Linked DNA regions of Tribolium castaneum. The protein of the gene in region 2 purifies or fractionates together with the protein of the main gene of each other region. This does not show direct contact. Links are inferred from orthologs where the notes say so. Each region holds a gene or a part of one and is shown on either strand. Other genes may lie near its edges.

Region 1 (4,351 bases), on a different chromosome or scaffold from region 2:
CCGTATTTCCAGCGATAAAAACGTGTCATCATCACTTCCTGATTACACAAAATATAAAAACGCTCAATCAGCTGAAACAGTAACGAACCGACAATGTTTTGTGTCAGTCTCTTCATCTTCGTTGTGCTTTTAGCCAACTTTTCGGCGCTAGCTTTACCGGAACCTGCAGAGAGCGACTCCGGCTCCCCGGTTGCCAAAAAGTGTGTAAAACCGGTGACTTTCCATACTGATTCTTACTTGTTTCAGGGATAATTCGGACGCAATTTTTACCTTTATTAAAAGTTTGCTGAATACGGGACATGCCGGGGCGCAAATCGCCATAAACAGGGTCAAAGCCGAGGCAGAAAAGAGAAAACAACTCCTGGATGAGATCAAACAAACTATATTGCCGAAATCAAGCAAGCAATGATAATGTTGTACATATTTTCTTAAATAAAGTTTTTACGTGAAACGTGGTTTGGTAGACGTGCGGAATCTCTTAGCCAACTCTCTTTGCATCGCGTTTTGGTCCTGCTGACTCGCTTTTGTTATTTGTTCCATGACTTCGTGATTGTATGTCGAGTGCAGCATCAGAGAGAGCACTCCGGCTCTCGAGGCCATTGTGTTGCGAATTTGGCGCTCTTTTTCTAAAAGTTCGTCCATTTTCAACCACTGGCGCACCCGTTCCAAGTCGATCTAAAATTTGAACTCGATTAATGCCTGACATTTTTTTCTTCAAAAAAAAATTAGTTAATGAAAATAAAGAAAAGTCAACAAAGTGAAAAAAGGCACTTTTTATTGACAAATGGCATTTTTTGTTGTACCCCAAATCTCAAAAAATGCAAGGTAGTTCTGAAAATTAAATTAAAAAACCTGAAAAAGTTCTTTGTAATGTCACCAAACATGCACCAATCTCCTTTAGTAAGATATTTATTAAAAAATCACCCTTTATTTATTTAAAAAATTTTTGTTTTTCAGAAAACGTAACCATTTTTACAACTTTTTTCTAAAATATTACGTTGTCGTTTACTTTTTTCATTTTTTTGTGTTATTTACTACGTAAGCTTTTTCTTCCATTATTGATGGTGAATTTTCTATGAACATGAATTGAAACTACAACTACAAACTTTTTAAAACTAAACAATTAAGAACTTAAAAAGTAAAAAAAAACGACGAAAACTAATAATTTCATCAATTAATTTAAAAAAACGCAACCCGTCTATTTACTAGGTATTTTTTTCAAAATCAAAATCAAAATATTTTTGCCGGCCTTAACATTCCACCCTGAGCTATATTGCAATACAATACAAATTCTACTAAGCAAAAAAGATGGAAAAGTAGATTTTTTCGAGCAACTTTCTTAATTGTAGCATTAATACTTCATTTTTTTTTAATATCTTACCTCAGCCCGTCTCAATTTCTCCCAAACGTGATGCTTAACGCATGATTTTTTCGGCGCTCGACAAAACTCCCCTGTCAGATCGAAAACGTTGGTGACCAATGGACAGCCACAGACTTCATATTCGCCGATTTTCGGATCCTTGCAATGCTCTGGGCACAAAACCCTCAATCTTTTACAATAAGTCCGATTAGCTGGATTATAAAAATCGCAAAACATGTTATTCCCCTCAATTCTGGTTTTAAAAATACTCCCGAAACTCGCTTGAGATTCGTACTTGTTGAAACACTTTTCCATGTGTTTGATGGCCGTTTTCGAATGTATTTCGAGTCCGCATGTTATGCAATACATGGTCGACACTTCCGACTCTTCGTCGTTGTCGAAATCGGCGTTCGGATCAATGGTGGCGCTCTTGGCGCGCTCGATAATCGCGTCCAATTCGCGATGCCGGCTGTCCAACTCTTGCAAAATCTGTTTGACTTCGAACTGTTGCTTCCTGACTTGGTCGAGAGCTTTGATATTGGACTCTTCGGCAGAGCAGGGACTCAGGGCCCACTCTTGGATACGCTGTGGCAACACTTGCAAAATCCGATTGGTTGCCAACTTTAAGCCACACTGATCCGAGCAGTATTTCGAGCCGTAGCGGGCGCTATTGGTACACGTGGGCCCGTAGCATTGGCGCGGATAGTCGGTCATGAGGTGGGCATTGGGCGGGCCTTCCCTGTCCGAGCTTGAATCCCGCCTCTTGCGCCTCCCCCTGCAAATCAATTGGTCAAGAATCAAGTCATGGGGCGTGGCTACCCCACCCGCCGTAATTTATGCAAATCCGCTGCTTGCACCGCTCCTTGTTGCGCGGGGAGCCGTGACGGCTCCGCCTCGTGCACACGTCGCACCGCCCGCAGTCCTCGGTGCGGTAACACCCCATACAGTCCCCGCATTTTTTCATTTTTTTGTCGTTTTTGGTGTCACCTCGTTCTTTGCGTTTGCGGGCTTTGCGCTCCTCGGTGTTGGTGTTGGCACTGGCGATTTCGTCGCGTTTGGTCCGCCAACGAGTCTGCAGAGTTGAGTCCTCCTCGGAACAGCGAATACAAATGTATTGTTTGATCATTTTGGCCTCCTTTTCGGAGATGTTCATGCAATCGCCGTGGTACCTAGAAATGCATGATTTGAACAATGTGTTGGCATGCAGGTGGTTTTTTACCATTCTTCACAGGCGTCACACGCAATCATGAAACGGGAGCTGTCCGAGGAGCGACAAATGCAATAAGCTTGACCATCTTGCTTGAGGAGGGTGTCGATTTTGGATTGACGCTCCGGTAACAGAAACTGTTTAGCGATCTCTTCGCGCTAAAAACAAGGCAAATTAAACACAGTTTTGTCCGGTTTATGCCAAAAATTACCGAAATATCGCGTTTTCGAGACATCTTCAATTAACTTAACCTTGCTTCTTTTAGCCACTTTTCCTAGCTCTGTTAGACATTTGAGGTAGGTCAGCACCTTAAAGCTAAACAATCGCCATTTTCAATGCTTTTCTTATGGGCATTTAAAAGTTTTTCGTATTTCTTTAATGCTAGAAGTGTAGGAACATTACTTTTACAGAGAAATGATAGCTATGAAAAATGCAATGTCGTTTCTTAAAGATTTTAGCAACTGAGCTAATATTTCTGTAAGTTGAACACATAAATCCTTTTCTAACCTAACTTTTTTCAAACTTCAAAATTCAGTTTTTCTTAATTTGGACATCATATTGATGTAAATTATTATGTGGCCTTTTAAAACTGAGGGAAAAATGGTTTGCCACACTAATGACATTGGATTTCTTCTGAATGACGAATTCATGGGGTGCAACCGGCGCAACCCCAATAAACGGGTTGTTTTCTGTCCCCCTCCCCCATCACGAGGGATGAATAGCAGGTATACGAGGGTAGAGGGTTCAGGCACATACATGGTTGAAAGTAGTACGGGTTGTGAGTTCTGTGCTTCTTTCGTGAGTGTCTTTTGTTATCGTGTTTTTTCCGATCGTTCTCCATATCTTCGTGTTCTTGAATTTTTAAAATTCTGTTTTTCCAAGACATTATCTCATTTTTGTGGTACATCATTAGGTATGATTTGTGAATAATATTTTGTTGCGATACTTTGATAGTTCATGTGTAGTAGGTTTTTACATCACAACTATGGGAATGTGTTGGGCTCCAGATTGCAAACACTATAGTACTCGCGATAAATGCCATTTTTTTAGTTTTCCTAAGTCGGGAAAAGAACGAGCACTATGGAAAAAATTGTTGAGGTAATTTTTAATAGATGTTTTGATATTAATTTTTAATTGCTTGTTTCATTGTTAAATGTAGAAGAGATGTAGAACCCGGACCAGGAGCCTACGTTTGCAGCTGCCATTTTCGGGATGGAAGAAAGGAAAATGGTCCTGAATTATTTTTGCACAATATCGCAAAAAGAGCCTATTTTCAAGTGGAATCTCCAGAAAAAAAAAAGATGAAAAAACAAGGACTCCCTTCTTGTTCTAGTTCCGCTGAATCATTAAGGTAAAAAGTGAATCCTAGTTTTAAATTGATTTACAATTTGATCATTTGAATAGTGTTGATATACCGGAAGAAACAGTACCATCGACAATGAATTTAGAGGAAGTGCCATCGACGTCTACAGCCGTAGTTGCAGCACCAGCAGATATAATTCAAGATGCTCCGTTAGAATCTATGGGTGTGCAAGCACCCTTGGTGTCACATGCGGCTCTTGAAGCAGAAATGTATTTTCTCAAAAAGGAAAATGCTGAACTTAAAGCAAAAATACAATATCTGACAGTACGATTTTGCTATGAAAATGTTCAAGGAAATGACAAACTCATTGTTTTATATACCGGTCTTCCCAATAGCCAGATTTTCGAAGCATTGTTTCACTTAATCGAAAAGTTGGACATAAAATATTACCACAAATGGACAGTCCAAAAGTTAACTAGAA
Region 2 (3,821 bases):
GAAGCTCAATAATTCCGGCAATTTCATTAAAAAATGCAAGTTTTGTGGCAAATAGTGCCATTGTCTTCTCTTTGTTTTGAGCTAGAATTAGTTAAAAATGGCATGTTTTTTTGAGCATTTTAGCACTTTTTTATTCAGAAATGCAATTATTTTGAGTAAAAATAAATCGAAAAGTTAAAAATTGATTAGACATTTGTGTTATTAAACGATGTTGCGTTGTATTTTGTAATAATTTTTAGCAAAAAATTTAGTTTTTCGCGAAAATTTTCGAAACACTAAATTGGGTTTCAGGTGATATTATTTATCGTTGATGTGTTTTATTTTATACGTTTTTATGCAGAAACTAAATAAAGAAATCGAATTTCGTCGAAAATGCGGCGGTTTTTGTCATTCCTTTGCACTTTAAAAAGTTCCTTGAGTTTAAATTAATTATAGTTTTTTTTGAGCATTTTAATACATTTTTTAGCCAATTATTTTACGGAGCATTGTCAAAAATAAACTGAAAACTCACAAAAAGTTGTTTTAGTACGTTTTTATGCATAAACTAAATAATTTCGCGAGATTTTGTAAAAAATGCTTCAGTTTTTGTCATTTATTGCACTTCTTACTGGTATTTTTAAAATTAATTATATTAGCTTCACTTGACATCAGGTGCCTAAGTTTGTCTTAATCTTACTTCTTTATTACTTTTTTTTATTATAATTATTCTTTCTCTGGGTACTGCGAAATTATCATCAATAAAATTTTCTGATTATAAAACGTCAAAAGAATCTGGAAATAAATCAGTTGTTTCGCGAATAAAGTTATCATGAGCTGTTTTGCGTGAATTTAATTTCAAGCTACATTTGCTGTAATTGCTTTTTCTAGAGGAATGCTTGTAAATTAAGCTAAATTTTTGCATTTAAATAGGGCGTTAGGGAGCATTTATTAAAAAAAGTTTAATATTAAAATAACAACTTTCGGAGGTTTTTGATTTTTGTTTATTAATAACGAAGATATTTACCGGGAACGTCTCAGTTGAGACACTGTTTTTTAATTTTGTTGCTTTTGTTATTTTAATTATCGCAAAAAAGAGTTTCACCAAAATATCGGTATCAATGTTTTTTTTTTCCTAAAGAAGCTTATTTACATCAACTAGACAGTACTTTAAGGAAAATTCGAACTCTGAAATTGGAAATATAAATAAATAATCAGTTAATTCAATTTTTTTTGCTCATTTAGCTGAGAATTTTTAACAGTTTTATTCGCACTGTTGTATCTTATGCCTTGGGAAGATGAAGCGGTAGGCGTATAAAAATAAATATTTCAGGAGAGTTGATATTTCCTTTGGGTACGCGGAGTGTCTTTGGATTCAGGTGCGATCAAATGGGAACAAAATCTGCTTTTGTGTCAGTTTTGTTCCAAATGGTTGTGAGCCAGCTTTCAGGGACACCCGTTTCAGTGAAAATGACGGTGAACATTGTAAATAAGTTGTTTCTTTTAAGTTTAGGCCCGGTGGCATTGAGTTTCTGGTTTAGAGAGTGGGAATAGCTTTGGTGATTTTCTGTTTGTGGCCGCCTATAATTGACAAATGAGAATGCTGACTAATGGTATTACTGTTGCTGTACAATAATACAGGTATGTGGCTGGTGTCCCGTGCGCCTCCCTGGAATCACACTGGTAAAACTATGGGCTTAGTCTCAGGTAATGTACGCAAGCGAACAAGATGTTTCTTTGTTTTTAGGTATTGGAGTGAGGCCTCTCTGTGCGTCAATTGCTTGCTTGCGTAATGAGTTTTCTTCTTTTTTTCGACCGTTTCTATGTCGATTTTAAGGTGCGTAAGTTGTGCGCTGGCGTATTTTTTCACCTCAGTATGCGTTCATTGCGTTTTGGCGATTTTTTTCTGTCCCAACCTGTTTGGAGAGGCCTCGAAAATATGGGCGCTTGCGATTTACTATAGTCCTTTGTGCTTGTTATTTATTCCTGATTTGTTGTATAGGCGTGTTATTTGAAAGCTATCGAGACTAGACCGGATTTCGCCGTCGCTTGGAGCAATCTTGGATGCGTTTTTAACGCTCAAGGGGAGATCTGGCTCGCGATACATCATTTCGAAAAAGCAGTCGGTTTGGATCCCAATTTCTTGGATGCCTACATCAATCTGGGCAATGTGCTGAAAGAAGCGCGAATTTTCGATCGGTAAGTAAAAGAATCACAGGAAAATGTCACCTAAAATATAAAAAAATAACAAAATTATTGTAAAATGCTTTCTATAAAAAAAAGGCGCTTCTGTACAAATAAATCGCAATAAAATAAAATTAAATTGGGGAAATTTTAATTATTACGCAAAATAAGCCAAATTGTCATAAATGGTGCATTTTTGACGCTTAAACTTACGTCTGTTGATAAATCTCATTATGTTTTTGCGAGATTATGTTAAAATGTGACGGTAAATTGTAAAATTTACACAAAATTTTTTTTTCGGACGTTTTATCATGTTTTTTCACTGAGCAACGCAATTAATTTATAGAATTTTATTAAATAGGAACAGAAAAATTACTTTTTTGTACAAATAAATCACAATTAAATGTAAAAAATTAAATTATGTCAAGAAAAAATTAAAATTAAACTGTAGAAGCTTCAATTATTACGCGAAATTTTGTTAATTATGAGCTAAATTGTGTTAAATGGTATATTTAGATAATTTCTCTTGTTAGATTATGTTAAAATGTGACGGTATATCGTGTAAAATTTACACGAAAATTGAATTTTTTTCATGTTCACTCAGAAAAACAGCGAATTTCTGGAGTTTTTTTTTAAATTACTAAATTTGGTTAAATGTGGTGCAGTTTTAACCTTGTTTCGAGAGTTCACATTTGTTAGAACATTGTTTTTATTCCACTGAATAATACCGCGAAAAGTAGCATTTTGTAAACAAGTTTTGACGTTTTTCATGTTGTTTGATGTCTTAAACATTAATTTTTGCTACATTTTGTTTATTGCTGGTAACTTTTTATTTGTATTTTTTTGTTTTTACGTTGAAAACTCAGAAGATTAATTGTTTAACGAAATTTTGTTAAAAATTAATCAAAAAATACGTTTTTCGCGAGAATTAGTTTTTGAACACTGAATAATGGTTTGCAGGTGATATTTTATCCTTATTGTGTTTTATTAATGCGTTTTTTTATTAAATACTTTTGCGTGATTTCTTAAAAAAAAATCGAATTTCATCGTAACAACTTTTATGTTATTTTGATTATTGCGACTGTTTCACCTAAATGTTAGAATAGAAATGTGATTTTCTAAAGGAAAATTCGAATTCGAAATAAAAAAAAACCTAAACAGTTTCGGTGTTAAAAAGGAAATATTTATTGATTAAGAAAAAATTGTTGATCTTTTTGTTTTTTTTTGTTCGAATTTTTGTGAATTATTTTGAAAATCTATAATAGAAACGAATCCCGAACTCGACTGGTAATTAATTTTCGATCGGTAAGTAAAAGAATCACAGGAAAATGTTACACAAATTATAAAAATTTAACACAACTATTGTAAAATGCTTCATATTTAAACAAAAACGCGCTTTTGTACAAATAAATCGCAATGAAATACAAAAAAACTAAAATGAAACCGGAGAAATTTCAATTATTACGCGAAATTTTGTTAAAAATAAGCCAAATTGTCATAAATGGTGTATTTTTTCGCGCTTAAGCTTACTTCTGTTGTTAAATCTCATTTATGTTAAAATGTGACGGTAAATCGTGAAATTTAGACAAAAAAATTTTTTTCTGGCGTTTTATCATGCTTTTTTTTATTGAGAAACGCAATTTATTTGTGCAATTTTTAAA

What was found.
Region 1: the proteins of sxc (region 2) and CXXC-type zinc finger protein 1 purify together in Homo sapiens (affinity purification with mass spectrometry; 3 studies listed by BioGRID and IntAct, with this or other methods). This does not show direct contact. The link is inferred for Tribolium castaneum from reciprocal best matches to the Homo sapiens genes OGT and CXXC1.

What each region holds. Positions count from the first base shown.
Region 1 is NC_087398.1:9,598,891-9,603,241, reverse strand, and holds CXXC-type zinc finger protein 1, read right to left. Parts: upstream 2,913-4,351; 5' UTR 2,803-2,912; coding exon 2,779-2,802; intron 2,726-2,778; coding exon 2,580-2,725; intron 2,530-2,579; coding exon 2,185-2,529; intron 2,136-2,184; coding exon 1,382-2,135; intron 676-1,381; coding exon 442-675; 3' UTR 367-441; downstream 1-366. Other genes in the region: uncharacterized protein LOC107397902, read left to right, coding at 3,141-3,480, 3,533-3,665, 3,727-3,918, 3,972-4,351. UniProt on the Homo sapiens protein: Transcriptional activator that exhibits a unique DNA binding specificity for CpG unmethylated motifs with a preference for CpGG.
Region 2 is NC_087394.1:6,424,906-6,428,726, reverse strand, and holds part of sxc (UDP-N-acetylglucosamine--peptide N-acetylglucosaminyltransferase 110 kDa subunit), read left to right. Parts: intron 1-1,978; coding exon 1,979-2,175; intron 2,176-3,821. UniProt on the Homo sapiens protein: Catalyzes the transfer of a single N-acetylglucosamine from UDP-GlcNAc to a serine or threonine residue in cytoplasmic and nuclear proteins resulting in their modification with a beta-linked N-acetylglucosamine (O-GlcNAc).